Linked DNA regions of Elephas maximus indicus. The main gene of each other region encodes a partner of the protein of the gene in region 2 in a complex. Links are inferred from orthologs where the notes say so. Each region holds a gene or a part of one and is shown on either strand. Other genes may lie near its edges.

Region 1 (6,869 bases), on a different chromosome or scaffold from region 2:
CTTGTCTTTCATCCTTTTTCACAGGCCAACGTCATTAAGACTCAGTCAACCCAGCGTCTCTCCTACTCACTCACCATTGCCACCCTCCTCTCCTCTGCCTCTTGGACCCTCTATGGGTTTCGACTCAGAGATCTCTACATTATGGTAAGCAGAAGAGGGATGGGTGACAGGCGTGCAAGGTGGAAAACCAGCTCCTCTCGTCATAGTAGCCTTATGATTTCAGGTGCCCAACCTTCCAGGAATCTTCACCAGCTTGATCCGCCTCTGGCTTTTCCGGAAGTATCCCCAGGAGAAAGACAAGAACTATCGGCTCCTGCAAACCTGAGGCATCTCACCTGACCACTGGGCACTCTAATGGCAACCTAATACCAAAGAGAACCCCTCATTTCAGCTGTTCCTGTTGACTAGCCCCCCACGGGTATAGTGGGTTGTGGAAAAGAAAAAGGGATGACTTTGTGAATAGAAGAACCAAAGTAAGAGCTTTACCTAGAAGATGCGGTGGGACCTGGGAGATGAACTGCTTTTATTTTTTAGAGAGATTATTTTTTTTAATTTTGGAGGTTGGGGTGATACCTTTAGAATGTGCCTTAGAATAAACTGTTCCTCACCGCTGCCCACCACGGCTCATTCTCTATTCAGTGATTCTCAACCTGCCTGGTTTAGTAAAGGATAGTGACAAAGCAATCACTCTTTTAGCAGGGTAAGGGTGCCCTGCCTCATCCACCGCTACTTTAGGGCTGGTAGGGCTGCTCAGGAGTCCCTGGGTGGTGCAAATGGTTAAGTCCTCAAGTACTAGGCAAAAAGTTGGTGGTTTGAACCCACCCAGAGGTGCCTCAGAAGACAGGCTGGCAATCTGCTTCCAAAAGGTCACAGGCTTGAAAACCCTATGGAGTGCAGTTCTACTCTGCAACACATGGGGTCGCCATGAGTCGGAATCGACTGGATGGCAACTAACAACAACAACAAAGGTTGGCTCAGAAAAGGTATCTAAAAAAAAAAAAAAAAAGACGTTGGAAAGACCCAGAAAGACCTCAAAAAGAATGGAGCTTGGCTTTTATTAAGGAGAATAGAGGTTAGGCATATCTTCTGACAGGGTTAAAAGGACGAGGAAAGTGGAATGACATCTCCATGCTGAGAGATCTTAAGGTCTTTGCCTCCTTCAGTTCAAAACAGGAATGCCGGCAGGTTGCGCAGATAACGGTTGATACGACCTCAGGAAGCTGGAACCTCTCACTTCTCCACTGCCGGTACACATCCCTAATCACCATACCCCACACTCACACTTAACAACGCAGCAAATGAAAATGAATTTGCTCTTTAACGGGGGCTGGGAGGGAGGGCTGCCCGGGCAGGGGTCGGGGAGGGCGTTAGAAGCGCAGGCCCTTGCGGGCCAAATCGGCCCGGGCCTCCTGGATCTGAGTCTGCAGCTCCAGGGCGGCGTCTTCGCAGTCATGAAAAGTGGCCACGCGATAGCCCACGGTGCCCAGGGCAAAGCAGCCGACGGTCACCAGCAAATAGGCGGGCAGCGGCCACAGGACCTCCCGGCAGGTCAAGGGCAGCTCCAGGCCCAGGGTGGGGCCCATGGTCAGGGCCGCCCAGGTGGAGCCCAGGAGCGCCAGCCCCCACAGCCACTGCGCTAGCTTCGTCATGGTCCCTGCGGGAAGAGAAAGCAAGCTCGGAGTCCCTTCCACCCCGCCATCCCCTCTGCATGTGAGACCTAGTGCCTGTGCTTCTCACTCACCCACTCTCCGGATCACCTAACCTCAGCTCCGCTGCTCGGTGGTTCTCGCTGTTCTCGCCCTCTCCATTCAGTTCTCAACCCACCGTTCCCTCTCTGCCCCGCGTCTTCTTTGCCTAGCGCGGCTGGGACGTCAGTGTCTGGAAGCCTACGGCGCATGCTCTGCTTCTGCTCGGCCTTCTGGGAATTGTAGTCTTTCTCCGTGCAGTAGCCTAGGGTACTTGCGGCCCCTGTCTTCCCCAAGGCGGCCTCAACCGACTCTTGGCAAGCCGCTTGCTGGGCCCCGAGAGGCTTTGGGCCGGCTCCCCTAGCTCGGGGCCCTGCTTCAAGTTGCGCCCTAAGCAGATGGCACGAGGCTTGTAGAAAGCCTGAAGACACACTCATATCTTGCAACAAAGTGGAATCGTAATGTCCTTCCCCTTAAACCCCGTTCTACAGTACAGAAATACCATTCATTCATTCATTCACTAACTTCTTATTTCATTCGTTTATTCATTCGAACATTTTTTGAGCCCCGTGGCAGACTGCGGGGTATAGAGATGTCAAGAGACCTGTCCCCTCCTGGGGTGGAGGGGGAAAGCAGGAGTCAGGAAAGTGGATACACTGACAACTAGTCACGATGACAACTAATCGAAGAAGCTTGGAACCAAAGAATGGAGGGCTCCGGGCGGAGGGGCGGGAGTGCCTTTAAAAGGAAAAAAAAATAAAAGAGTTGAACTGGGGGAACGGAAGGATTACCTGATATATTTAAAGGCATCGAAAGAAGGCGTATTCTTCTTTCGGAGTGTTGGGGATGAATTCCTGATGCGTATATAGAAAGCCGAGGCTCTGGTGGCACAGTGGTTAAGAGCTTGGCTGCAAACCAAAAGGTCAGCAGTTTGAATCCACCAGCTGCTCCTTGGAAACCCCGTGGGGAAGTCCTACTTTGTTCTATTGGATCACATTGAGCTGGAGTCGACTCTACAGTAATGAGTTTGGTTTTATACAGAAAACCAAGCAAAAGAAAAGATCAGACAATTACAACTTCAGGGAAAACAAAGCTATTAAAAAAAGAAAGAAAGAATTGATAAAGCCCATAGTTAGAGTTCGGCTTACTAACTTTATTAACTTGCTCCTGCAAGGTAAAGCACACACCAGAGGAACCACGGGGCAGTTCATCCAACGAAGGAAGAAACAGAGTCTTACAGGATACGGGAAAGGGCTGAGTTTAGGTGGAGTCCCTGGGTGGTGCAAAAGGTTAACTCTCTCCACTTATAACCAAAAGTTGGAGGTTCGAGTCTACCCAGAGATGCCTCCGGAAAAACTCCTGGCGATCTACTTCCAAAAGTTCACAGTGACTGAAAACCCTGCGGAGCACAGTTCTACTCTGACACACACATAGGGTCGCCACGAGTCAGGGTCTGCTGGAGGGCAACGGGTTTGAGTTTAGGTAAAATTTAAAGGAAGCAATGTTTTGATGAGTTCAAAGGAAAACACAGCTGTATGTAAAGGAATCAACAACAAACCCCGGCTGAGAAGTGGACTCAGGGTCTGGCTGGAAAGCACAAAGTTAAGATAAATGTGGAATGTTGTGTCCAGAAACCCACTATTGGGTTTGCACCTAGGTTGGAAATCGAGGCTGCCTCTCTGTGTCACAGTAACTGTTAGGGATTGAATTGTGTTCCCCAAAAATATGTGTATCAATTTGGCTGGGCCATGATTCCCAGTATTGTGATTATCCAGCATTTTCTCATCTGATGTGACTTTCTTATGTGTTGTAAATCCTATCACTATGATGTTAATGAGATGGACTAGCAGCGGTTGTATTGATGAGATCTACAAGATTAGATCCTGTCTTAAGCCAATCTCTTTTGAGATATAAAAGACAGAAGCGAATCGAGAGACTGGGGGACCTCATGCCACCAAGAAAGCAGCTCCAGGAGCAGAGCGTATCCTTTGGACCTGAGGTTCCTGTGCAGAGAAGCTTCCAGACCACAGGAAGATTAATGACAAGGACCTTCCTCCAGAGCCAACAGAAGAGAAAGACTTCCCCGGGAGCTGATGCCGTGAATTTGGACTTGTAGCCTACTAGACTGTGAGAGAATAAATTTCTCCTCGTTAAAGCCATCCACTTGTGGTAGTTCTTTTATAAGCAGCACTAGATGACTAAGACAGTAACCAACATGGCTCAGGTCTTCAGACAAGAGTGAGATATTCCATTCTCATTAACGTGATTTCAAATAGGCAAGTTTGGGGGTGTCTATGATTTTAGAGAATGAGGTTTCTCAACCAATGTCCGTGATATGAATGAACAAAAGTAGGGTTTTTGTTTCTTTTTTAAATTGTGCTTTAAGTAAAAGTTCGCGATTCAAGTCAGTTTCTCATACAAAAACCCATTCACACACTGTTATATGACCCTAGTTGCTCTCCCTACAATGTGACAGCGCACTCCTCCTCTCCACCCTGTATTTCAGGTGTCCATTCAACCAGCTCCTGTCCCCCTCTGCCTTCTCACCTCACCTCCAGACAGGAGCTGCCCACATAGTTTCATGTGCCTACTTGAGCTAAGAAGCACACTCCTCACCAGTATCATTTCATGTCTTATAGTCCAGTCTAATCTTTGTCTGAAGAGTTGGCTTCAGGAATGGTTTTAGTTTTGGGCTAGCAGAGAGTCCAGGGGCCATGGCCTCTGGGGTCCTTTCACTCTCTGTCAGACCATAAGTCTGGTCTTTTTGCTAGAATTTGAGGTCTGCATCCCACTTTTCTCCTGCTCTGTCAGGGACTCTCTGTTGTGTTCCCTGTCAGGGCAGCCATTGGTGGTAGCTGGGTAGAACAAAAGCAGTTTTTACAGGTTCACAGAGTCTTAGTACAAACACTACAGAGCAGAGGTGTGAGGAATATTTTCACAGCCCTAATAATGTAAACACTGTGTATTGATTTAACCAAAAATTGGGAGAGTGGGGGAGAGGAGTATATTAGGAGAATCAGGAGTAGAAAAAATTAAACGCTCATCTTCTGTGGCTGGAAGTCAATTGGTTCCATCTAAAATGGGAAAAATCAAGAAATAATAATATAAGGATATCATTTAGAAATACTGAGACAAATACCAGAAAAAGCAGCCAAGAAACTTGAGAGTGGTTGTCTCTGAGGAGTGTGTATGCAGGGTGGGAGAAGTGGAGCAGGGGACTGTCATTTTTCATGACAAGGCTTGTAGAGCTAAGTTGATTTTTTAAGTATATGCATACGTAAAAATTAAGACAAAATAAAAACCATTTTTAAAATCTGCTATATGTGGCTGCTATCCACAAGGTTGGCAATTGGAGGTTCGAGTCCACCCAGAAGCACCTCAGAAGAAAGGCCTAACAATCTACGCCCCTAAAATCAGCCACTGAAAACCCCCTGGAGCACAGTTCCACTCTGACATACATGGGATCGCCACGAGTCAGAATCAGCTGGACAACAACTGTTTTTTGTTTGTTTTTTAATGAAGGAGGAAGGACAGGGACTGTGGGTATCTCAGGACCTAAAAAACCTGCCATGTAAGTCCCTATCCTCATCTCCCTGCAAATCCTACTGGTTGCTCAGTCAGGCTTCCCCGGTCACAACGACTTTCAGATGTTAGCCCAGTTCAGAAACTGAGCATCATCTTTGTAAATCCAGAAATTCTGTTTTATTAACCCGGAGTAGAACTGGCCCTGGAAGACTGACTGCCACTTCCCAGAAAAAAAAGTTTCCGGGAGGAGAGATAACAAGAAGGGGCTTGCCCCACCAGCCAGAGAGATCGATAATCATAATCAGCAGTAAAAGAAACATTGTTGCGGGGCTATTCTGTGTCATGCCCTGTGCAACATTGTCATGTCTCATTTTTACAATAGTTTTTGGGTTCAGTGGATACTTTTACAGCTCCACCTATAGATGAGGAAACCAAGATGCAGAGAAGGTAAGAGATAAGTAACTTGCCCAAGGCCATGCAGATAGTAAGTAGCAGAGCTCGTTTCATCTAAACCAAAGCCATGTTCTTAGCAATTTCACTCCACTGTATTCACCCTGGTGCCTAACCAAAGGGTCGGCAGCTCAAATCCGCCAGGAGCTCCTTGGAAACTCTTGGGGGCAGTTCGACTCTATCCTATAGGGTCGCTATGAGTTGGAATCGACTCTATGGCAGCAGGTTTTTTTTTTTTTTTTTTTTTTTTGGTTTTTGGGTTTTTTTTTTTTTTTTTTGGTATTTGTGTTACTGGTACAGGAGTGGGTGGATAAGGATCATGATAATAACTGACATTCCTTGATTACTATGTGCCAGGCATATGTGACATGCTTTAAGTGTATTATCTCATTTAATCTTCATAGCAATGCTATGAAGTAGGTATTATTATTATCCCCCTATTTTTCAAATGAGGAAACTGAGCCACAACCCAGACAACCTGACTCCAGAGTCTGTACAGTTTACCACTACACTGTAGCACCTCCCTCCCTAGATGAATGGAACAGAATAGAAAGTGAAGGTCTAGACCAAGCAGACATACAAGTTTAGCATGACAGGTGTGACATCTCCAGTGAGTGAGGAAAGATTAATTGTTCTAAAACTATTTGCAACTATTTTACCATTGGAAAAAGTAAATTGAGTTAGAGTCCCACCTCACACCTTATAACAAAAGTAATTACCAGTACATTAAAAAATAAATTAATTTAAAATGTTACTTTTGTAAATTCATGTAAACAGAGAAGCCCTAAACGTGCTACAAGAAAAGGTGAGTACCTGTTTCTCTAATTTTGAGCTTGCATGCCGCATCCTTCACGCAGCCTCCCTGGCCTGGCCCCGCTTGCAAGGTTGGTCACCACCTGCCTCTTCTGCACTTCCACAGTCTCTCAGTTATAGATGGCCCTTAATCTGTTGAGCAGAAGGGTTTTTGTTTTCCTGCTTGTCCTGCTCAGGACCACTGTGTCTCCAGGACCAAGCATAGTGTGGGAAACCCAGCAAGCCTTCTATAAATGTGAGGTGAGGGAAGTAAGGAAGAAGGTCAGGTTAGTAACTGATGGTCTTAAGGGAAACTGACCCAGCTCTCCTAGTCCCAGAAAATATAACTGCTCCGTAGATGCCCATCTGGCAGACAGAGTCTTTGGCCTTGGGCGCACTGGACGAAAGCTGACTGAT
Region 2 (8,903 bases):
AACAGTGCTGGTTAGCAGGACCTGCTTATAAAGTACCTGTCTGGGCTTGGCCCAGAGGGGCGCTGGGTACATGGAACAGTGAGGAGGTGGAGCTGACCTGTCTCTCCCCTGCAGGGTCTCCTCTGGGGTCTACGAGCCAGTCGTGATCGAAAGCCATTGAGGAGCAGGTGTCCAGACTGGAGAAGGGCCCTGCCTTCGTGGACATCCAGATTCATGTCATCCCACGAAGGACATTCCCCTTCAGATCCCCATCTGGGCCACATCTCATCTGTGCCTCTTCCATGTACTCCAGCCCCACATGTCCCCAAAGCATCATTCCATGGTCCTCCCCTCCATTCTGGGACCCTTCTGGCCCCCTGGAGCCCAGGCACCACTGTGAATATTCTCCTCTGAACCACTAGAGGGCAGGACAAGTAGGCCCTTGCAGCAGGTGGCCAAGACAAAGAGCAGGACTGTCTCCACTGGAGACTGACTGGACCCCCTTGGCCAGGGACAAGCAGCAGCCCTTAAATATGAGGAGGCTGCTTGTAGCTGGGAGGCCTCTTCCCTGCCTCTCCACCCACTCCAGGAACACTGGCTACAGCCACCCTGGCAGGGCCTGGCTCCATTGCCCCCTTGCCCTTGGGGAGCCAGTCCATCCCCAGAATCCTGCCACCGTGACCCTCTGACTGCTTAGTGCTTCAGCTATCCCTTCCTTCTATCCTGGGGGACCTGCTGGCGGCCTCCTCCTGGGAACCAAGACCTCACACCCCACCCACACTTCACCCCATCGAATGTTCTGCTGCTGCCCTAGCAGTCTGCACTTTGCACATGCTTGTCCCCAACACAGCCCCCCTGCCTCCTGCCACCCCTTCCCTGGTCCTGTCCCAAGGATCCCTGGCCTCTGCCTGCTGTGCAGTCAGAGGCCCAGGCATCACAGCCCGGCTGGAACGTGGCACTGCCTCTCCTCCCTCCAGTTAGCCACAGCTCAGGCCTGGGACCTGTGCTGAGAAAGGTCTGAACGTCAAGGGGTTTCCCCTCTGCCAGGGCTGGATCCTGAGCAGCTGGGTTTCATGTAGGAAGGCCAGGAAAGGTGCCCCCCAGGGCCTGGGAGGTTGGGGGCTTGGCTAGGCTGGACTTGGCAAGCAGAGCCCCCTTTCTCTGCCCTCAGGGTCAGCTGGCCCAGGCTAGGGCCAACACTGAAGAGACAGGTGGGCTGTGACTGGGCTGGCCCGGAGCTGGGTTCCTGGCCAGAAAAGACTCAACCCTCCTCTGAAAGCATCCCCTACTTCTGGGCCAGGCACAAATGAAGTCCTGTAAGAGACATCTCTCCAGTGGGGGACAGTCTGGCCCCCCTCCCTCTCCATTTCCCCCGCCCCAAGCCTCTGCTCTCAGCACTTTTCCTTCCCTGGTCCTTGTTACTTGCTTAAAGGTGGATTCTGGCTACTAGCCAGTCCCTGGACCCCCACCCCACCCCTCTTTTAAATTTCATTCATTTTGTATAAACCCAGCAGGCTGGTGTTTAGTTCTGTAACTTCCTTTTCATTTCTTTTCTCTCTCTGTTTTTTGTTTTTTTCTTTTTTTGACTTCACAGTTTGGTATTTTCTCCTCCCCCAGGTTAGGGGTAGGAGGTTCTGTGCTCTGCTCTGCCTGCTGGCTGGGTCTCAGCAGGGCTGGGCGTCTAGATGTGGGGAAGGGCACAGGCTGGTTCTCTGGTATGGGTAGGTGGGGTTCCTCCCCAGGCTGGGAGGTCACCTTACCCAGCTTCTCATCTGCCCCTGCTAGCAAGAGTTGGGGTTCTTGGTCCCGGAACCTGGCTGGCATTGGGACCAGAGCATTTTTAGGTTTGATTTTGTTTTTACTGTTTTATGATTTTTTTAATCACCTAAGTCTTTTTGTAGAAAATGAATGTTAGAAGGTGCCTGCCAAGGCAGGATGGAGCTCTAGTCAGCTCTGAGGGTCCCTTCCTGCCCCGCAGATGCCTGGCACTTTAAAAGGAAGCTGGTGGTGCTGTCTCCAAATGGGGTGACCCCCAGAAGGTGGGGGAGTGTCATCCTCCTTCTGTGTTTGTGTGACCTCAGCCCAGGGAGGTAGGAGGTGCATTCAGGGTGTTTTGGGGTCTGGTTTAAAGTTCTGGGGTTTCGGGCACAAAACTGTTGGCTTTAGCACTGTTGGGGAGACTCCTCCAAACCAGGAACTCCAGCCCTGCCCTAGGTGAGGTCTGAGCTCAGCAGTCACCCAAGAAGGAAATAGAGCCAGGCCACACTCTTCCAGTGCCAGGCCCTGGGCAGGAGAATTGGACTAGCTGAGAATTCGGCCACAACCAAATTAACACTGGCTGGAGCCAGAGGCCAGGAGCCCTGGCCTCGGCCCCACATGGGAGCCCTTTCCTCGGCCCTCTGGCCTCCTCGAGCTCAGTGAATCCCCACCAGGTGTGTACAGCTCCTGGACTTCAAATTCTATATAGAGATAGATATATTAGAGATATTTTTGGAAAGGAATTGGTCTATGCAATGCCAGTTTGGAATCTTCTTCAAGGACAGTTTTAATATTTTTACTAGGAGTTTTAAAGAAAATAAAGGTCTACAGTATTTTTTAGGGTGATTTCTGGTCACCCCACAAACTGACCACATGATATGATCTACCAGGGTGGAAAATGTCCACGTTTTCTCTTAGGGAGTTGAGTGGTGAGGCAAGGTTTTTTTGTTTGTTTGTTTTTTATTCCTCTCCTTTCTAACAGAATGCTGCCACCACCGCCCCCGAATTCAGCGGACTGTGTTTGTATCTCTGTCCCAGCTTCTATTGTAGAAAACATTTGAAGGGGAAATCAGTCTAGTATCAGTGTCTTGGTTTCAAGGGAAAAAAATAAATATTGTGGTTTTTGTTTTGGTATGGCATGTTGTTTTTTACTTGTTACTTTACCACATTGACTTTGGGGTCAAAGACAGCATCAGAAGGAAGCCCAGATGTGTGAGTGAGGTGATGTTCTGGGGGCTGGGGAAGATGTCCGTGGTCAGGGTTCTCCAAGTCTTGGCTACAGTCATTATCACCACCTTTATTATTCCAAATCTGAGTGAGGAAACCAAAGCCCAGAAGGGTCATTACTTGCTAAGCTCGCACAGCTACTAAGTGGCAGGTCCTGGATTTGAATTTGTCTCTGACTTAAGAGCCCAAGTTCTAACCACTGCTCTGTGGACCTCCCCAGCAGTCAGGTTGCCTGTAATGAGTGTGGCTGAGGGCAAATAACTCAGTTTTCTCAGCTGCAAAATGGGGTTGTGTATTATGAGAAAGGAAGTATACAGCCTAACCTGTGGGAGGTGCTGGGCAGGTTCCCAGCCTCTCTAGCCCCAGGCCAGAGTAGTCTCCATGCTAGGCCTTGGGCCTCTCTCCCCGTTTACCTGACTCCAGAGTCACACAGAACTGGGCAGCCTGGCCAAGCTCTGGGAAAGGTAGGTTGCCCTGGCCTTTAATGAGCTCAGAAATGATGGAAAGCCTAGTGGCTTTGGACAGGCCAGAAGGGACCATGTTCCCCAGCCTGGCCCCTAGCCCTAGGCCAACATTAGCCCCCCTCCTCAGGGCTACCCCAACTCATGGCCCCATTAAGCCCTAATGCTAATTCTCAGCCCTTTCCTCTGTCAGGCACACTCAGGGAGGGAAAACTTGGCTTCCAGCCAAGCCCAAAATCAGTCCTGAGATTGAAGGGAACTGTTCTATAAGCTTTTTTTTTTTGGCGGGGGGGTGGGTAACCCCCATAGTCAGAAATGAGCTCACATGACTCAAGGAGATAAATGCTGCTGGCAGGAGCAAACCATGCCAGGCTCAGACTTGGCTGCTTCCTCCTTGAAGGGGAAACAGCAGGCCCAGGGCCTCCACGTAACCCATCAAGGAGGCCTGGAGTGCCCAGTTGTTGTACCTTCTAGCATTCCAGGATCTAAAAAATCAGAGTCTTAAAGCTAGTTGATTGATGTGTGCCAAGCCCCATTCTGGATACAGCAGTGACCATAGGCCTTACCCTCAGGGAGCTCACAGTGGGCCAGACCAACACCTTAGCCAATTAAAACGGGGAGACAGGAGGGAGCCCCTGCTTCCCGATGCCAAAGCCACTTCCCTGGGGACTCCCCAGTGAGGCCTAATGGATGAGGAGCTGCTGGCCCTGTGAGCTGTGGGGAGATGTCAAAGATGATCTGGCCCAACCACCCTTTGTTCTCAAATGAAAAGGCCTCCAAAGCGTGTAGGGTGGGGGGGAGGTGGCAGCCCTGCCATCTCCTGGCCAGTCCAATGTGTCTGGGCTGCTGCAACACCCTGGTGAAGGGAGGGAGGGGCCCCTGGCCCAGCCCGCAGTGAAGAGGGACACAGGACAGGTCGCCAGGGAAGTAGGACCTATCCCTAAGCCAGGCTCCCCTTATCTACCAATTGAAATCTCCCACATCTCTGCGGATTCAAATCAGCCTCCCTTCCTCGCACCGCAGACTCAGCAGTGAACACTCTCTTGTAGCTGGTGAAAACCCCAGGTTTGGAGGCTGAGGTGGAAGATTAGAAAGGCAGCTTTATTTCCTTCCGCAAGGAAAGGAACACCCAAGGGCTGGTGCTTCCAAGGCTGTTCAAGGATAAGGTTTAAAAAAAAAGGTTTAAGGAGGTCACTTTTATAGAGTTTACAAACAGGGAGATCATGTAAATACATCAGCAACATTCTAAATCATGCCACGCAGGCACAATAAGTGTTAACATACAACTTCTTTGAATTTGTGTTTAGAAAATAGCAGTTAAACCCCTTCTAAGGGTGGGAAAGTTAATATATACAAGGCACTTAATGAGCCAAAGTTAACTCTAGGTCTCTCGAACGAGCTTAAACCAGCTCTCGAGGCTTATTGTCCTGCCTCAAAGAGGAAATACAAGCTCTAAGATGTTATCTCTTGCTTGGTTCCTGACCACACTTGCTGTGGGATTTTTCCCAGTTATCAAAGGCTCCTGCCTTACTCTGTACCCTTTCCTTCAGGAGGCATGATAGGGACCGGGAAGCGACACCGGATTCTGGTCTCAGTTTCACCATTCCTTGAATTGTGACCTCCAGCAGGTCTCTGCCCGTTTCTGAGCCTCACTTTCGACCTCTGAAAAATGGGACTTCCGACCCCCAGCCCATCCTGCTCTGATTTTGGGTCTTTGCAATGTATAGGAATAAGCTAGGTTCCTGGGGCGAACGCGACAAGACTGAGGCCTAGAGGGCCAGGCAGTCTGGGTCCCCAACTCTGTCCTATTTCCCTAGAGGCCTTCGGGGAACAATCTTCCCCACATTGCCCTTGAGAAACTTCATTTCCCGACATGCAAAGGGGAGGCGGTGCCTGCCTGTCTTAGGTAACGTGGTCTTGGGCCTGCCTGAGGACTACGACTCCCGGCGTGCCTCGCGGGTCAAAGCAAAAAAAGTCCCGGAACCGGAAGTGGCTTGCTGCTCCGGCGTCGGAACGTATCGGGTAATGGTGAGTTTGGGGCAGAGTGCGGCCTGTTGAGGGCATTTAGGGGCTGGTGGTGCTTCCGCTTAGGAGCTGGGTCTTCGGCACTCGGAACCGAAATTTCCTTTCCGCTGGCCCATTGTACGGATGAAAACGCCGAGGCCCGGTACCCCTTGCCCAGCCTGGAAACTGACTCCATAGTTGGCCCTCAATACGTTTGTTGAATGAACGGGAAATTTAGAGCATAATCAGGCTGCGACGCTCCCGCTCCACGCCCCCGCGCGCCTAAATGGCGAGTCAGGGTTGTTATCTGAGCCCTTCGTTTCCTCCAGGCCACGGGAACAGACCAGGTGGTGGGACTCGTTCTCGTCGCTGTTAGCCTGATCATCTTCACCTACTACACCGTCTGGGTGATCATCTTGGTACGTCTCCCCCACCCTCTATGCACCTACTCCCGTCCCTAACACCGTCCCTAACAACGTTTAAGAAGCTACTGTGTGCCAGATACTGTGCTAGGTGTTTCACCTGCCTTTACCTCACTTAATCCCGAGAACTCCATTATAAAAAGATGCTAGTGGTGTTCCTTTTTTATAGGTGAGGAAGCTGGGGTTCAGGGAAAAGGTTTAGCCCAAGGTCGTGTGCTTAACCACTACACTGTAAAGCCCTGTTCCTGAATTGCTTTGCCTTTGATGGGAATTCTAGTCTTTCTGTTTATCCTGCTAGCTCCTGGACACAGCTACTGCTAATGAATTTTGTGCGGGCTTTTGGGATTTTTTTTTTCTTTCTTATGGGAAAATTTAGCAGTTATTGCTTAGAAATTGTAGTGTATTTGGAAGGCAAAATCTTGTAGAACCTCATATCCTTCAAAGAAAGATGTTAGTAAAGATCTTGGAACTGAGGTTGAGAATCAGGATTCCTTATGTACTTCTTGCCCCTGTAAGGCTGTAAGTGCCCTAGGGCAGGTGCCCAGCACCAACCCAGGGCGGGTGGCTTGGGTGGGCATTAGCCCACCAAACGAGTACCCAGTAAACAATCATTAAACGAATGAAGGAAACATATCAAGACACGCAATGCCACCATCTTAAAAGCAAATGCTGTCTTGATGCCCTGAATGGGGTCAGCCCCTTGGACAGAGGAGGTAGGATATTTGGGCTTAGGGGGCTGAGGGAGACTAGGCAAGGTGAACTATGCTCACCAGAGCTCTGCCCTTGGTGCCAGCCATTCATTGACAGCCAACATGTCATCCACAAGTATTTCCTGCCCCGAGCCTATGCTGTCGCCATCCCGTTGGCCGTGGGCCTCCTACTGCTCCTCTTTGTAGGTAAGTCATCACTCTCTCAACCCTCGGCATGACTGTCTGGAGGGCCCCCACGACCTTCTCTCATCCCCGAAAATACTTCCACACTTTGGCGTTTGCTGTAGATCTACTTGAGGCTTATTGTCCCCAGGTCTTTCCCTGGGGTTGTCCTGTTTCCATTTCAAGGATGGAAATCAGTGGTGACTCCTCTGGTTTACCCAATGCCTCAAGCTCATAGGACTCCAGTGAGATGTCTGCCTTTTTCCTACCACCACCACTCCCGTAACTCTGCTCACACCTCAGTTACCTCTTACCCTCTCGTTACCCTGGTTTGTAGTTCTTGCACCTCTCTATCTCCTGTGGTTTAGTCTTGGGGGCTTTCTAAGAGCTGAAACTATGTCTTAGTCATTTCTTTGTCCACAGCACCTGACACAGGGTTTGCCACTGAGTTGGGACTCACGAAAGTGGTTTGGATGAGTCAGCAATTGAGTGGATGATAGGATAGATGGGTGCATGGACGATGGATGTGGAGTGGGCAGATCGGTGGGTGGTTAGGCAGGTGGACAGGGGATTGATTGAATGTGTAAATGCATAGATGGAATTTCAAACACCAAACACAGTGTCTTGCATGTGGTAGGGACTCCTTTGGTGTTTGTGAGTAGATTCGTGGCTTGATAAATGAGTAGAATGACTAGAAAGATGATCAGGTGGCCTGGAGGGTGGTAGGGTAGATGCATGGCCCTGCGTGTGGGTTGCTGCACCATGCCATGTCCTTCCCTGGCCTTCCAGCAGCCCTGAGCCCAGATCTTACCTAGTTTGTGTGGTCTGTATGTTCCAGGAGTGTTCATCACCTTCGTGATGGTGAAGAACAAGAAGGTGGCCAAGAAGGCTCAGTGAAGTCCCGGCAGGGGATGAAGCTGTCAGTCCCTTTTCTGCTTCCCACCAGGACAGGGACCAAGGGTGGGAGTCAGTAGGACTGGTCCAGGTACTAAGGCCCCTCAAGCCTGGCTGCCCTGCAGTCATGCCCATGGGATGGAGCTGTTCAGGACTCACCCCTGACTGACCAGAGCCCCTGCTCCTCCCCTGTTCACCCTTCCAGAAGCCAGGAGGGAGGAGTACCTGGAAGTCTCCTTCTCACCTACTTCTGCCCCAGGACCTGAAAGATGCTGATCCTTTCCACCTCACCTTCATACCCCCTGTTACATTTTCTTCTGGGTTATACCCTTTTGCTGCAGTTTCCCTCCTGTCACATGCTGATGTTGGACTTAACGGGCTCTGAGGGAGCACGCGATCTTTCCCCACCATGTCCTGCTTCTCTACAGAGGCAGCTTTCTCAAGTCTGACACAGCCCCAGGCCCTACAAGGACTTCTGGACCTGGAAAGCCTAGGGGAAGTGCTGACAGACCCTGGGATCATTGCCAGGGATCAGGGCACATTAGGGTGGCCACACTGGACCCCCAGACTGACCACTCTTCATGGAGGTCCAGCCCCCCGGCCCCAGTGCTGGCCTATGCGGGAGAGTTTAACAATAAACATTGATCATGTGTTTGTCTTTGTGCCACTCTTGAACAAGGGAGCTGGCCATGAGGACTGGAGAGGAGCTCGGAGCTGGCCCCTGCATTGGCCTCAGGTCAGAAGACCCTGGTTCATGCAGTGAGGGTACCTCAGGTGCCTCCTCTGTACCAGCCCTGTGCCAGATACAAGGAAGAGCAGGGACTGGTTCTGGCCTGGTAGAGCTCACAGCTGGGGACTCAGTGCAGGGGAGTTGGCATAAGTGCTTGGAGGAGGAGCTCTGGGCTTCTACCCACCAGATGGCCAGGTGGGGGCCCTGGCACAGGAATCAACCACAGACCATATCAGCCTCCACTGTACCTTCCCTTGGCTCCTCAGCTGGCAGACCCTAGCATTCCAGGGAGCCTCTGGCCAGTCCCCTAAAAGCCCAAGCCCATCATCTATTGCCAGCACCCAGCATGGCCCTGAGCAGCAAGAACTGCTCAATGAGATCAGGGCTGGCTCCACTGTGTTTAGGTTGACTGATCTGACACAGCCCCCTTCAGCCCTGCCAGCAGTTCCACTATGCAGCTCTGGACAGTCCTATCTTTCAGAGTGCCTAGAGCAGACTCTTACCACCTCAAGCCTCAGACATTCACTCTTCCTCCAGTTAGTGGAGGACCTGGTCT
Region 3 (7,383 bases), on a different chromosome or scaffold from region 2:
TGGGAAATGTTTCTATTTTAGGTATTAAATGTGTCTCTAAACATTGTTGCTAGGTAACTTTGAGTCACTTCCAACTCGTAACAACTGTCATAGATTGAATTGTGTCCCCCCAAAATATGTCAACTTGGTTAGGCCATGATTCCCAGTATTGTGTGGTTGTCTTCCATTTTGTGGTTTTCCTATGTGTTATAAATGATAATCTCTGCTGTGGTGAAAGAGGATTAGGGTGGGATGGAACACCCCTACTCAGGTCACATCTCTAATCCAATGTAACACGAGTTCCTCTGGGGTATGGCCTGTACCACCTTTTACCTTACAAGAGATAAAACAAACAGAAGCAAGCAGAGTTGAGGGCCTCATACCACCAAGAAAGCAGTGCTGGGAGCAGAGGGTGTCCTTTGGACCAGGGGTTTCTGTGGGGAGAAGCTCCTAGGCAGGGGAAGACTGATGACAAGGAGCTGGAGCTGACGAGCTGAATTTGGATTTCTAATTTGGATTTCTAGTCGGAATCAACTCAATGGCAACAGGTAGGTAGCCTACTAGACCGTGAGAAAGTAAAATTTCTCTTTGCTAAAGCCATCCACTTGTGGTATTTGTTACAGCATGTCCAAAGTACATGTCTCTCAACATAGCCTACATTTTAAAATTTGGAACATTTTTACAATTTTTCTCCCTTTATACCACTCTTGTGACAAAAAGCACTACCCACCCCCCCCCCCCCCCCGCAAAAAAAACCAAACGCACTGCCTTCGAGTGGATTCCGACTCATAGCAACCCTGTAAGTCAGAATCGACTTGGGAAAGTGTGGACATCTTATTTTATTATTATTAATGTAAGCATGTGATGCCAAAGAAATGAAGATAATTTTACAAACTAAGATTTTTTCTAAGTATGTGAAATTTCCATTTTATTGTAAGGTTTTATATCACACCAGTTCAAAGGCATTTCTTTAGAACTCTTCTAGCACAGCTTCTCTGGAATTGTTTCAATCGTTCCTAGCATGTGACTTGACTAAACAGCTTAAATCTAAATAACCAAACAACATTTCAAATGACTAACTTTTTAGACGAGTAGGATAAAGTATAAAGTTATCAGCTGATGGATGAGGCTATTAATTTCCAAGACACTTGTCAAAATGTTTCTTCTGATATAGTAGTAGTTGTTATAAATCAGAACTTTGAAAAAATAAGGGCAGAACAAGAGTATAATAAAAGAAGCTCCTGCAGCTTAAGCCTCCCATAGTCCTAAGCTTCTGACAGAAGCAAGGCAAAGTACCTTTCCTGCAAACTAAACGGGATTCCAGTATTTCAATCTGGTTGAACTTTCAGAGAAAGGCCCAAGACCATCTTGGATCTGGCTGTATTAATTATGCCTGAAGAGTTTAATACCCATCCAAGTCCAAAGGTGGAAGAACACATAAACCGGTATGGTAATCGGCAAGAGCAGACTATAAAAGCAGAGGCTGGCTGTGCTAGTGCAGCCCTGAGGGAAGTTTTCTTCCACAGAGGCTGAGTAGAACAGTCCTGCTAAAGAAACCAGCGGAATAAGGACAGTCAACGTAGGAAGAGACAGAAACATTCTTCTTCCACACTTATTACCCGCCACTCTGACTTTTTAAAAGATAAATGATATTAAGAGAATTCAGTTTTCTTTTTTTTAAAAAAATTATGGTTTAGTGCTGCTCCATTTCTTCTTTCTTCTTATTTTGATGTGTCATCCTAGCTGCCTGTGGTATCATATTAGGAATGCCATCGATGACTGGATATGCTATTCCCAACTCTTCATTAATCAATTCATTTGTCGATGCTTCGTATCTAGGAAAAAAGAAAAGAATCACAAAGCGAATTTTGTAAAACAAAATTCTTGGAAGACCTTGATATTCAATAAATAATACTATTTGTCCAATTCTCGACAGAGTTAACACTGAACTGTATTCTTTAATTCTAAAAGCAGCAATAGCCAATATTACCATTTCTCTTATAAAATCTGTAATTGTTCCCATTTTAATCAATTTCTCTCAAATTCTCTTTTTACTGTATTCCCAAGTCATGCCTTAGTTAAAAGTTTTCTCTCATACTGCTCAGAAAATATTTCCTCTTTTCATCCAGACATCCCTTCATTCCTCTGGCTAACCCCAAAACCATCCCAATCCATTTACTACTGGAACAGAAACTAGAGAAAAATTCAATTTCCTGATTTAAGAATAAATGCTCAGTAAAGTATCCTAACTGATCCACTAGATGGAAATCGCTGAAAAATCAAAATACACAAAAGTTTGAGAACGATGGGAGGGCAGAAATGAGGAAACTTTGGAAACAAGTCTAAAGTGAGCGAGTTACACAATTAGCTAAAAGACAGACCCAACAATAATTTAAAGGTTTAAAAAAAATTGAATGACCGTTATGTTAATTATAGGGCACACTAGTAAAAGAGAAATGCAAAAAGATGAAAATAAAAATTACCGGCAATCTAGCACCCAAGTATAATCACTGTTAACATTTTGGTGTTTAGTTTATGCAATTTGTAACACTACCGTTGTCAATGTTCAGTTTTAATAGCTGGAACTGTACAGCCGCTTTAGCAAAGACTATGTTAAAGGTTAAGAGAGCATTTGCAATAACCAGTTAGTTCAGAGTGAAGAGCCAAAGGGCAGCAAACAAAGCTCAAATTTTTAAAATACCGTTAGGCAGTAGCTGTACACGGCCATTTCACAAAAATAAGCTACTAGCATATTTTTCATCACCGTGGGTTTAAAACCTGAACGCTTCACGAATCATCCATGGTCCTTTTCAGAAAAACAAACGTCCAGGCCCCGCCCCCAGGCATTCCGACCCGGTCCGCTCGTGTCGGTACCCAGACAACGTCCCCCACCCCCCGCAAATGCACCCTGGTGATTCCTTAGAGCACCTATCAACGCTCCGATGCATTCCGGCGGGCCGGCGGCTAATTTGGGAGGCCTGGGGCTCGGCTCGCCTCAAGTCTCCTTTCGCCCTTCAGGTCGCAGGAGAAGCTGCGTGGGCGCTCAGCAGGGCCTGGGCCCACAAAATGGCCGCCGAGACCACATATGAACCTGAAAAGCTGCCCAAAGGCTGTGAGAGGCCGCGCGGTCTACCTGCCCTCTCCTCCCAACAGGAGGCCGCGAAGGGAAAACGGAGCCCGGCAAGTCCCACCTGAGCGGCTTCTTGGAGAGCGGGCACACCAGGAACTCCAGCAGCGCCGGGTCCAAGGCGCGGGGCTGCTCCCCCGCCTTCGCGCTCCGGTCCGCCGACAGTCTAGGCACCGACGCGTGCAGCCACCTGCGGGCGACGGCGGACAGCGGCGCTGAGACGAGCCTGCCGCACGCGCCACTCAGCATGGTCCAGCAGCCGGCGACCTCACCTCGCTGCACCCTCAGCCAGCCCGGGCTGCTCTCCGCCGAGCCCCACTGGCCAGGCCCCGCCCCCCGGTGCTCGGAGAAACGGAGCCCTGGAGCAGACACAGGCTAACGCTTTAGTTCCGGAGGCGCTCTTGACCCAGTTGCTTTGGCTGTATCGCCGCCCTGCGGCTGAGGTAACTGCCTGGGGCCGGAGGCCCCGGGTGCCCAACCCATCGCATTTACACAACCACAGACAAAACCGATGCTTAAGTCGGGCTCTGTTGAGTTTTCTTCAGGGCTGTCAGGAAGCCAGTGTCCGGGTCTCAGATGCACACAGCTTTAGACGTGGACATACGCAGTTATCTCCAAATGAAGCTTTAAGCTCTTTGTTAAAAGCATTAATTCGTTTAGTGTTTAATGTGAATTTCTGTAACCCTGTTTTGACCTTTTTTTTCCCTTCATTAAAAAATAAAATTTAAGAACCTGAAAAGAATGGCTTGAGCCTCTTAACCTCCAAAACATCCAGAATTTTCATATTTCTTACCCTGTATGACTCAAGCATTGTGATTTCAGTTGCATAATAAATCACAACTAATTTACTGCGCTTGGAGGCAGCGAGGAGTTTAAATAATTGTATAATTAGGCAGATGTCCATTAATTGAATTTAAGACCCCATGTTTGCCTCTGACTGTCCCAGGGAGTGATGCAGGTTTTGATCTTAGAGTGTAGCAAGAGATTAGGCTCTGAGACCTGTACAGCTTGGTTCCAGCTCCTTAGTTAACTACCTGCAAGACTTCTGACAAATAATTGCTGTTTCCTTGTCTGTATGTTGTTGTTGTTAGGTGCCCTCCAATCCATCCCAACTCATAGTGACCCTATGTATAACAGAACAAACACTGCCTGGTCCTGCCCCATCCTCACAACCGTTGCTATACTTGCACCCAAGAGCATTGCAGACACTGTGTCAGCCTATCTCCTTGAGGGTCTTCCTCTTTTTTGCTGACCCTGAACTTTTCCAAGCATGATGTCCTTTTCTGGGGACTGGTCCCTCCTGATAACATGTCCAAAGTATGTGAGACGAAGTCTCACCATCCTCACTTCCAGGGAACATTCTGGCTGTACTCTCTTCCAAGACAGATTTATTTGTTCTTCTGGCAGCCCATGGTGTATTCAGTATTCTTCACCAACATAATTCAAAGGTGTCAGTCCTTCTTCAGTCTTCCTCATTCATTGTCCAGCTTTCTCACGCATATGAGGTGATTGAAAATTCCGTGACTTGGGTCAGGTGCACCTTATTCCTCAAGGTGACATCTTTGCTTTTTAACACTTTAAAGAGGTTTTTTGCAGCAGATTTGCCCAGTGCGATGAGTCTTTTGATTTCTTAACTGCTGTGTCCATGGGCATTGACTGTGGACCCAAGTAAAATGAAATCCTTGACAACTTCAATCTTTTCTCCCTTTATTATGATGTTACTTATTGGTCCAGTTGTGAAAGTTTTTGTTTTCTTTACCTAAGGCTGTAGTATTTGCTCTTATTAAGTGCTTCAAGTTCTCTTCTTTTTCAGCTAACAAGGTTGTGTCATCTGCATATCACAGAGTGTTAATGAGTATTCTTCCAATCTTGTTGCTGAGTTCTTCTTCATATAGTCTGGTTTCTAAGAATATTTGCTCAGCATACAGGTTAAATAAGTATGGCAAAAAGATACAGCCCTGATGCACACCTTTTTTTGTTGTTTTAAACCGCTCAGTATCCTCTTCCACCACTCATCTGTCAGTTTGTCCTACTGTGGTGTTTTGCATATTGCTGTAATGCTGGAAGCTATGCCACCGGTACTTCAAATACCAGCAGGGTCACCCTTGGTGGGCAGGTTTCAGCGGAGCTTCCAGACTAAGACTAGGAAGAAGGACCCGGCAGTCTACTCCTGAAAACATTGGCCAGTGAAAATCTTATGAATAGCAGTGTAACATTGTCTGACATAGTGCCAGAAAATGAGCCCCTCAGGTTGAAAGGCATTTAAAATACAACTAGGGAATTGCTGCCTCCTCAAAGGAGAGAAGACCTGAATTACGTGGATGAAATCAAGCTTTCAAAACCTTCATTTGCTGAGGTGGCACAACTCAAAATGAGAAGACACAGCTGCAAGCATCCATTAATAACTGGAACATGGAATGTACGAAGTATGAATCTAGGAAATCTTTCAGAAATGAAAAGGAATGCATAAAGATCAATATCCTAGGCATTAGTGAGCTGAAATGGACTGGTATTGGCCATTTTAAATTGGACAATCATATGGCCTACTATGCCAGGAATGATAAATTGAAAAGGAACGGCATCACATTCATCGTCAAAGAAGAACATTTCAAGATCCGTCCTGAAGTACCACACTGTCAGTGAAGGATAATATCTACACGCCTACAAGGAAGACCAGCTAATACAACTATTATTCAAATGTACACACCAGAAGATGGCAGACTAGTCAGATGCACTAAACCATCCCAGCAGCAAAAACCCCAAAAGCAAGTAAAATAGATACAGACATCAGTCCTAGAACTCCAAGCCTTAAATGAAGGGGGAAAGTATTAGATTGGAAGTTACTGAGGAGAAGAAACTGATAGAAAATGGGGAAGGAATAGAGGTACAGAGTGGAGGTTCATGACCAGACAGCATGACTCAGTGTTGCCATGTTGGAATAAAGCCAAGAACCCTGCACACAGAAAGGCACTTCTATAGATAGAGGTACAGTGCAGACACACAGAACTAAGTAAGACCACATTTGCTGGCTGCAACTCACGGAGAAGCCCAGGCTGTCTTACCAGGTAACCACAGGAGCACGCTCCTACAACGCCCACCCCTCTGGTGAATAGTGGCTATAACCACTTAGCAACCCATACAGCCTGGAACCAGAGTACCAACCCACCCTCTTGCCCTCCTCCATCTAGTCCCTTCTGCCTCTGCCTTGACACACCCCACCCCACCCTGCAGCCCACAGTCCCCAAGGGGACCTGACCCAGACCTCAGGCCCATTCTGCCATGGCACCCAGAAAGGGAAGTTCTAGAACACTTAATTGTGCTCATGCAGAATCTGTACATAGACCAAGAGGCAGTTGTTTGAACAGAACAAGGGGATACTGTGTGGTTTAAAGTCAGAAAAGGTGTGCCTCAGGGTTGTATCCTTTCACCATACTTAATCTATATGCTGAGCAAATAATCCAAGAAGCTCTACTACATGAAGAAGGCAGCATCAGGACTGAAGGAATACTCATTTAGAACCTGTGATATGCAGATGACACAACCCTTGCTTGCTGAAAGTGAAGAGGACTTGAAGCACTCACTGATGAAGATCAGAGACTATAGCCTTCCATATGGATTGTACCTCAACATAAAGAAAACAAAAATCCTCAAAACTGGACCAATAAGCAACGTCATGATAAATGGAGAAAAGACTGACGTTGTCAAGGATTTCATTTTACTTGGGTCCACAATTAGTGCTCATGGAAGCAGTGGTCCAGAAATCAAATGATGCATTTCACTGGGCAAATCTGCTACAAAAGGGTTAAAAAACAATGATGTCACCTGGAGGAATAAGGTGCACCTGACCCAAGCCATGGTATTTTCCATCACCTCGTACGTGTGCAAAAGCTGGATATTGAATAAGGAAAACTGAAAAATTGATGCCTTTGAATTATGGTGTTGGCAAAGAATACTGAATATACCTCAAACTGCCAGAAGACTGAACAAATTTGTCTTGGAAGAAGTACAGCCAGAAGAATGCTCCTTAGAAGCAAGGATGATGAGACTTCATCTCGCTTACTTTGGACATGTTATCCAGAGGGGCCAGTCCCTGGAGAAGGACATCATGCTTGGTAAAGTAGAGGGTCAGCAAAAAAGAGGAAGACCTTTGTTATGAATTGAATTGTGCCCCCCCTGCCCCCGCCAAAATGTGTGTGAACTTCACTAGGCCATGATTCCCAGTATTGTGTGATTTTCCTCCATTTTGTGACCTGCTGTAATTATCCTATATGTTGTAA
Region 4 (7,940 bases), on a different chromosome or scaffold from region 2:
AATTTGCATGAATTCATATTATTTTTGAAAGCCTATATTTGCTTCAGAGAGGAACTTCTAAAATAACTAAAATCCTAATTTTCACTGGAAATAGTTGCCAGGTATCTTCAAAAACTCTGACAAAAGTTTACATTCCCACTGAGCATAAACAGCAGTGCATATGCAAGGAGTACGAGAGGAGGTAGAGAATTTCTCTGGAGAAAGGAAACTTAAGTGTTCTGTGCTCACCTGGAAGACAGGTACTACTTGGGATATCCCATGTGGTTCCACTGGATCCTTCAATAAAATGCAGAGGTAGTAAATCACCTTCTGCTGTAAGAAAAGAAACCAAATAGCAGAAGTCCAAGTGAAACTCGGTTTGTTTTCTTTTTCTTCTTCTTCAAGGGGAGGCTCAAAACTTTTTCTCTAAGTAGTAGAACACCTGATAACCTTGAAATGGAAAAGGAGAAGTATATTCTCATTCTTTAAATGAAAAATACAAGAGATGATTTTGAAGCTGGGCTAGAAACAGTTGAAGTGCTGATTCCTTATTCATAAAAACCTATTCTCTTTAAAAATAGTCCTATCTTTTCAACGTAAGTTTCACTCTTATGGTTTATAGACACATCAGCCAAAAAAAGAAACACTGCAAGTACTAGAGCAGAAGATTCCTCAAATTTAATTCTATGACATCAAATACTTTAGTATTTGATTCAGGAACACCCCACCTGCTACTTCCTCCAGAAAGGCCTGTAATACTTATTATACACTTACCATGTAAATAGCCTCGTTAATGACAATATCCTTCACCTTGCCCATCTCAATAAAGGTGGTGCTTTCTTTGCCTGAGGCGTAGGATGAGGTCAGCTGGATGCCCAGGGAATCAATGATTAACAGAGTCTCCTGATCAATCTTCACAAAATGGAGGTAACCAAGTAGGCCTAAGAGGGTGATGAAGATGGCAGCAGAGAGGATCATGCTGTTCTGAAGAGAGAGCCAGAGGCAGGCAGTAAGATTACCAAGTGGTCCTGCGCACACTGCTGCTGTGTTAACAAATCAACTCGGGCGGGGCGGGGCGGGGCGGGGGGGGGCAGAAAGGGACAAAGGACAGGCGAAAATCTTTGTTCTACTGTGAGTTGAACAGATGCAAGACCCATACATAAGAGGAAACCATACAAAAGAGGAAACCACTTTTATCTGGGTTCTGCAAGTATATAGGAGTCCTTGGGTGGTATAAATGGTTAAGTGCTTGACTACTAGCAGAAAGGTTGGCAGTTCGAACCCATCCTGAGGTGCCTTGGGAGGCAGGCCTGTCAATCTGCTTCTGAGAGGTCACAGCCTTGAAAACCCCACAGTTCTATTCCGCACACATGGTGTCACCATGAGTCAGAATCAACTTGGTGGCAACTAACAACAGCATACAAGTGGATAGTGGAATAGATCCAGATAGCTTCCAAATGGACAGGTCTGTGGAGGGAAATCCACAGCAAAATGTCTGGCATCACACCAATGTCAAAGATTTTTCTTCCAAAAGTGCAATTTAGGGACCCAGATCTTTTCCTCTCTTGCTCCCTCAGCAGAATATACAGTGCAAAATCACAGACTGAACAATTGTAAAGTACTTCGCACCAGTGCTGCAGATACTACTCACTGCCTATTCAACTGCCGCTTCTTCCTAGTAGAACTTGGAGTGAATCATGACCTGGTCCCACTCCTTTTGCCAATGATTGGTTAGGAATGGGCACATGACAAGTCTGGCCAATGAGATGTCAGGGGAGGTCAGCTAGAGGGGCTTCTGAAAAACTTAGTTCATCTTAAAAAGACAGCTAAGGAAGAAGAGGTCCTTTCTTTATGAAGTTCATAGTGAGGTTTGATGCCATGGCCTTTGCCACATGAAGTGGAGATGGCATAAAAACAAAATTCTCCTATTTTAAAATTGCCTAAGATCAGCCCTCCACATGGAGGAGGCAACATGGTATAAACAAAAAGAAACGGCTTCAGAGTCAAACAGCCTTGGATTTGAATCCCAGGTCTACCATTTACTAGCTTTGTAGATTTGCGACCTTGGATAGATAAGTTATTACTCTTTCTGAGCCTTGGTTTTCTTCTGAGGTTGAAATGAGGCATTCAGTAAAACACCTGGCACTCAATAGGCAGTTAATAAGTTATCTGTCCCTGCTCCCCACATGCCCACAGGGGCAGAACTCAGGCTAGTATTAAAATTCAACTGTATTATAAATTTAGGTAGCTAGACAGATAAACATAGATAAATTACCATGCTCTGAAATATGCTGTGGTAGCAAAAAAGCTAATGGATGCAGTAATAGAAACTACCAAAATACGGAATAAATAGCTCTGCTGTATTTAGCTTTGACCAGACCACTCCTGGAATATATTCCATCCAGGACACTATACATGAAACTAGAACTTACCCTGGGAAAGGCAATTAGGATAAGTCCTTTTAACTGAGCGCTGTCACAAAGTTAGGACATTTGACCCACAATACAATACTGTGGAAGAGGTCCTGGTGGCACTGTTAATCAAAAGGTCCATAGTTCGAACCCACCAGCTGCTCCACAGGAGAAAGATGTGGCTGTCGGCTTCAGTGAAGATCTACAACCTTGGAAACCCTAAGGGGCAACTGTACTCTGTGCTACTTGGTCGTTAAGAGTTGGAATTGACTGGAGGGCACACAACAACAATACCGTGAAGCTAGTGTGGCAAATATTCCATTTTAGAGATGCGAAAACTGAGGCTCAGAAAAAATAGGACTGAGTCTGGAAATTGCTCGAAAAGTTCATAGTTCTTCAGAAAATACGTGAAACTGGGGAAGGGATTCAGGGAGGTAGATAGATTGCCTTGAAAAAGAAATTAGGAGGAACTATAAAAGCTGCTTTCAAGCTTTTAACGTCTGTGTGTATCTAGACACACACACATATACTATATATACACATACACACTTGTAGAGGCAGAGAGTTTCTGAAAGACTATATAAGGTATTGTTAACAATGATACCTGTGAGGAGTGGAAGCGATGGATGAGGGTGATCCACTAACAGTTCTCTGAACTCTCGGAATTAAATTACTAGGAGCATAACTACATAGCGCACATGGAAGTTTACATTTTAGGCTGTCGTGCAAGGACTAAGATGTATGCTGGGTGGATCCACAAAAGCAGAACAGGGATCCACGAGAGGGAGATGGTACAAGAGCACAAACTTCACTAAACGTAATGAAAAGATCCGTCCAGCAGGACAATGGCGTCTCCAGAACCAGCGAGTCCTCGTCCTCCGACCCTACAACTGTAGGAGGATCCGGCAAGAGGCTCGAGCTCCACCAAAAAGACCCCAAAGAGCCTTCCAAATCCGAGCCCCAACTCCGAGGGCAGGGAGAGGCCGACCGGCCATTACCTCACAGAGGGTGAAGAGTCCGTAGGCCGCCAGCCACACGGTGCAGGTGACAGCGGTGAGGGAGCGCAGCGAGAGCCGAGGGCAGCTGAGGCAGAACTCCCGGCAAGAGGGGGAATAGTAGCGGCGCTGCAGGGCCAGGCGGCCGCCGCAGATGTCCGAGAAGCTCCGCTCGTCCTCCATTGCCGGCTCGCCCCCACCCAGCGGGGCCGCGCCGCGCCGCGCCGCGCCACTCTAGCCCGCCCCACCGCGCCGTCTCGCCGGCTCTCGGGCCACTTCCGGAGAGCCGGGTCAGCGTCCCGCCCCCCGTTCGGCGCAGCCGCAGTTCGGCGCTGAGAGTCCGGGAGGTTAAGTGAAGAGTTCATCGTGCCCCCGGTGTGTTCGGCCGCTATTTTCGGCTTCTTTGTCTTCTCCAAAGAGTCGTAGGGGGCCAGCGACTCAGCAGACAGATTAAAACCGCTACTAACAAACGTGGTTTCGCCCGACAAACTGATTTATATTTCTAAGCCAGAGTGTGCCCCAAGGAGACAGTCCACAGGTATTCATACATTCCAATCATTGTTTTATTCGTTACATATTTAATGACACCTTTTTTATTGTGTACTAGGGAAACCCTGGTGGCGTAGTGGTTAAGTGCTACCGCTGCTAACCAAAGGGTCGGCATTTCGAATCCGCCAGGCGCTCCTTGGAAACTCTGGGGGCAGTTCTGCTCTGTTCTATAGGGTCGCTAGGAGTCGGAATCGACTCGACGGCACTGGGCTTGGTTTGGGTTCATTGTGTGCTAGATAGTTTTAGGTGCTGAGGATACAGTGGTGAATAACATTGACAAGGTCCCTGTCCTCAAGTGGCTTCCTTTCTAGTGGGAGAAATAATATGGAAATAATTTCAGAAAGCCGTCGGCAATAAGGTGATGACCACAGGCAGGGACGGGTGGGCCGGGGACTTTAAACAGGGCATTCAAGAGAACGTCTCTCTGAGAGGGAAACTTTGGAGCTAGAAGAATGAGAAGGAACCGAACATTGGTCTCAGGGAGTTCTGCAGGTGCACTTTGTCAGGAAGAAGGACGAACAAAGACAAAGCCCTCGAGGCTGGAACAAGGTGAGCTTATTGGAGGTATATAAAGGCCATGGAGACAGGTGCCTGGGGACAGATAGGTAAAAGATCCAGAAGGGTCTTGTATGAGACGCTGTAAGGAGTTAGATTTCACTGTCCAACTTCTCTCTCCCAGACCTCTGCTGGGAGGTAGACAGTAGGAGTGTGAGATGCAGTTTATGGAAAATAGGATTACTAAATGTATGTAATAAGTCCTGTGGGTTCCCTCCTCTTACCTCAGATGTGTCCCGTGAGCCACGGTGTGGCCTATTAAAATAGTTATGATGCTTCAGCCCTGAGGCGTAAGGATAAATGGCATAGAGTTCTCACTAGCTTTAAGTCTCTCCGATGCCAGTCAGGTTCAGTTGCTCCATTCTCATGCAGAATTTTTTTCCTTTTCTTTTCCTAAATTTTTCTTCAAATATTGCTTTGCTTTGTTTTTCCAGTTTTATTTCTGTGCCCCGAATCTTCCAACCAATACTTTTTTTGTGAATATCATTTAATGTCTTTTACAATTATAAAAGTAATATTTGCGTATTGTTGAAAATTTGAGATTTTTAACTGTACAACAAGGAAGAAAACTTTAAACCACCTATATCGCCCCCACTGAGACATAAGCACCGTTGGTGTTTTAGAGAGACCTCTAGTCCTGGAGTTCTCGCCCAGGCATCCCTAATAGCATTCAGAGTCTGCGGACTTGGATGGGGAAAAAATTTCCCCTTTAGTTTCATTAACTTCTAACTGAAATTTAACATTTCTTTTGATTATGAGTGCAGACACAAACCAAGTAGTATCAGCAGTGATTTTGTCACCAATAGAAATCACAAATATTTTCTTTTCACAATAATTGTTATAAAAATCAAACCTGTCACCATCGAGTCAATTCTGACTCACAGTGACCCTATAGGACAGGGTAGAACTGCCCCATAGGGTTTCCAGTGCCTGGAGCACTTAACCACTGTGCCACCAGGGTCTCCATAATTGTTATCTCAAAATGTCCTTTTCACTCATAACTACTTCAAAATTGCAGTAATTATTAGACCCATCACTAGATCTTGTTATTAATGTGTCAGTAAAGAGATACATATGGCTATAACACATTTGAAAAATATTTTGATTACTATATTTCAATTCAAGGAGCCCTGGTGGCATAGTGGTTAAGTGCTCAGCTGCCAACCAAAAGGTTGTCAGTCTGAACCCACCAGCTGCTCCGCAGGAGAAAGATGTGGCATTCTGCTCCTGTAAAGATTATACAACCTCGGAGACCCTATGTGGCACTTAGACTCCGTCTTATAGGGTTACTATGAGTCGGAATAGACTGGACAGCAACAGGTTTGGTTTTGGATATTCACATTCTGTTGGTTTTCTTTGAAATCCAATGTTTTGTTTTTTTTTTTAAATGCAATTTAAAATATGATTGTGATAAGGGATCCGTTAGCTTCACCAGACTTACAAAGGGTCTGTGGCACAAGAAACGTTAAGAACCTGTACCGGCTTAGAAAGTTTCACAGCAGTAGAGGCATAGAAAGAAAAAGACACCTAAATGTACACTTAACATTTTTTGAATACTATTAGGAATATATATGGTAGTAAAGTAATCCCAAAATCTTTATATCTACTTTGTTTTGTCACATCACAGTATCTTCTTAACTCTATTATGCAGTTTGGCAGCTCAGTAGAAATTGAAACCTATGTGTTTGCTATTTACCTAGGTTCCAGTTAGAATGTGAAATGACAAGTTTTCATGACCATGATCTTGCAAAAGTATCAAGGAGTGATTGTTTTAGCTCTCAGTATTGGATTTCAAAATATTCTCAAATCTCAAAAGTTCCATGGACTATATTTGCAGGGTCAGTCATGGAAAAATAGAGAAAGGGAGCATGAGAAAAAATATATACCCTCTATTTTCAAGGTAGGATAACTGCTGTAACAAAACACCTTACAATTTCAGTGGCTTGACACAATAACTGTTTATCTTAAGTGCATAGTTCCACATGGGTGTTCGTGGTGAGGTGACACGCTTCCAAGTCAGCGACCCAGACTCCTTGCATCTAATGGCTGCACAACCCCCTAGGGCCTTCTCGTGGGCCTCTCCATTGGATCCTCTGCATCTGGCTGGCAGATGAGGGGCAAGAATGGAGGAAGGTGCATGAGACGGTTTTCTGGCCAAGTCTTTGGCCCACATTTCCATTGGCCAGAACTCATTAGCATGGCTATACCTAACTTCAATGGAGGCAGAGAAACAGCATCTATCAGTGTGGGGAGGGATGGTTGAGGAGAAATGATCTGGTGAACATTTAGTCAGGCAAAGGCCATATTCTTCAAAGAATTCTGGCTACAAGAACCAGGAACTATATTGGAGTGAATTAAGCACTGAGGTGGCAATTCACAGGATTAATCTCCCAGACTTACTTTTGGTATGATGGGTAATTATTTCCACTGTTAAAGTAATTCTTGGAGCCTGAGTGGTTTTGAATTTGAATAGCAAAGGAAAATAGAGTAATTAAAATACAAGTTCAGTTAACTTTTTATTTTTAGGGTCCATGCCAGATTCTTAAAACCCTTCCATAAGTTCTATTTTAGTGTTTGCTTACATTTATGGGTTAAATAGTCATTCCAAGAATACAATCTTAAACCAAAAACAAAAGCTGTTGCTGACCAGTTGATTCTGACTCAGCAACCCTGTAGGACAGAGTAGAGCAGCCCCATAGCGTTTCCAAGGAGCAGCTGGTGGATTCGAACTGCTGCCCTTTTGGTTACCTGAGCTCTTAACCACTGGGCTACCAGGGCTCCTCTGTCTTGTACTGTTGCTTCTATTCTGTTTGCTTTTTTATGATATTAATGATTGCTACTGCTATGTTAACTGATGGTAGGACTCCTACTAAGGGCCACTTACCCCTAAGCGTTCTGTGAACTCAAAGGAAACTAATAACAACCCATAGAGGAGAAAAAGCAAAGGCCCACGTAAGTAAAAAGTAATCCCAATGAAATGGGGTTTTAAAGAAATAAACTTTTCATCTGTTCATTTCTAGAATTCCATTTTGATTTATCTAGTGTTTTTGAGTATATCTCTTCATATGGTTTTTTTAGTGGTTGCTTGTTTTAGTTATCTTGTGCTACTATAACAGAAATGCCACAAGTGGATGGGTTTAACAAAGAGAAATTTATTTCCTCACAGTAAAGTAGGCAAAAAGTCCAAATTCAGGATGTCACCTCCATGGGATGGCTTTCCCTCTCTGTCGGCCTTCTCATCAGTCTTCCCCTGGAGTAGGAGCTTCTCCATGCAGGGACCCTGGGTCCAAATGACATGCTCTGCTCCTGGCACTGCTTTCTTGGTGGTATGAGGTCCCCCGTCTCTCTTCTTGCTTCTTTGTTTTATATCTCAAGAGATTACCTGAAGATACAATCCAATTTTGTAGATTGAGCCCTGCCTCACTAACACATTAACATCATAGAGGCAGGA

Evidence for each region.
Region 1: DPM2 (region 2) and DPM3 share a complex: the UniProt entries of both Homo sapiens proteins name them as parts of the dolichol-phosphate mannose (DPM) synthase complex. The link is inferred for Elephas maximus indicus from reciprocal best matches to the Homo sapiens genes DPM2 and DPM3.
Region 3: DPM2 (region 2) and PIGY share a complex: the UniProt entries of both Homo sapiens proteins name them as parts of the glycosylphosphatidylinositol-N-acetylglucosaminyltransferase (GPI-GnT) complex. The link is inferred for Elephas maximus indicus from reciprocal best matches to the Homo sapiens genes DPM2 and PIGY.
Region 4: DPM2 (region 2) and PIGH share a complex: the UniProt entries of both Homo sapiens proteins name them as parts of the glycosylphosphatidylinositol-N-acetylglucosaminyltransferase (GPI-GnT) complex. The link is inferred for Elephas maximus indicus from reciprocal best matches to the Homo sapiens genes DPM2 and PIGH.

What each region holds. Positions count from the first base shown.
Region 1 is NC_064821.1:193,064,640-193,071,508, forward strand, and holds DPM3 (dolichol-phosphate mannosyltransferase subunit 3), read right to left. Parts: upstream 1,880-6,869; 5' UTR 1,742-1,879; intron 1,655-1,741; 5' UTR 1,650-1,654; coding exon 1,368-1,649; 3' UTR 1,037-1,367; downstream 1-1,036. Other genes in the region: SLC50A1 (sugar transporter SWEET1), read left to right, coding at 25-144, 224-325. UniProt on the Homo sapiens protein: Stabilizer subunit of the dolichol-phosphate mannose (DPM) synthase complex; tethers catalytic subunit DPM1 to the endoplasmic reticulum.
Region 2 is NC_064827.1:79,028,918-79,037,820, reverse strand, and holds DPM2 (dolichol phosphate-mannose biosynthesis regulatory protein), read left to right. Parts: upstream 1-5,135; 5' UTR 5,136-5,450; coding exon 5,451-5,453; intron 5,454-5,758; coding exon 5,759-5,848; intron 5,849-6,644; coding exon 6,645-6,747; intron 6,748-7,561; coding exon 7,562-7,620; 3' UTR 7,621-8,383; downstream 8,384-8,903. Other genes in the region: EEIG1 (protein FAM102A), read left to right, coding at 115-160. UniProt on the Homo sapiens protein: Regulates the biosynthesis of dolichol phosphate-mannose. Regulatory subunit of the dolichol-phosphate mannose (DPM) synthase complex; essential for the ER localization and stable expression of DPM1.
Region 3 is NC_064823.1:66,837,950-66,845,332, forward strand, and holds PIGY (phosphatidylinositol N-acetylglucosaminyltransferase subunit Y), read right to left. Parts: upstream 1,596-7,383; 5' UTR 1,579-1,595; coding exon 1,363-1,578; 3' UTR 822-1,362; downstream 1-821. Other genes in the region: PYURF (protein preY, mitochondrial), read right to left, coding at 1,673-1,814, 3,171-3,355. UniProt on the Homo sapiens protein: Part of the glycosylphosphatidylinositol-N-acetylglucosaminyltransferase (GPI-GnT) complex that catalyzes the transfer of N-acetylglucosamine from UDP-N-acetylglucosamine to phosphatidylinositol and participates in the first step of GPI biosynthesis.
Region 4 is NC_064828.1:79,954,064-79,962,003, forward strand, and holds the start of PIGH (phosphatidylinositol N-acetylglucosaminyltransferase subunit H), read right to left. Parts: upstream 3,650-7,940; 5' UTR 3,569-3,649; coding exon 3,389-3,568; intron 964-3,388; coding exon 754-963; intron 313-753; coding exon 82-312; 3' UTR 1-81. UniProt on the Homo sapiens protein: Part of the glycosylphosphatidylinositol-N-acetylglucosaminyltransferase (GPI-GnT) complex that catalyzes the transfer of N-acetylglucosamine from UDP-N-acetylglucosamine to phosphatidylinositol and participates in the first step of GPI biosynthesis.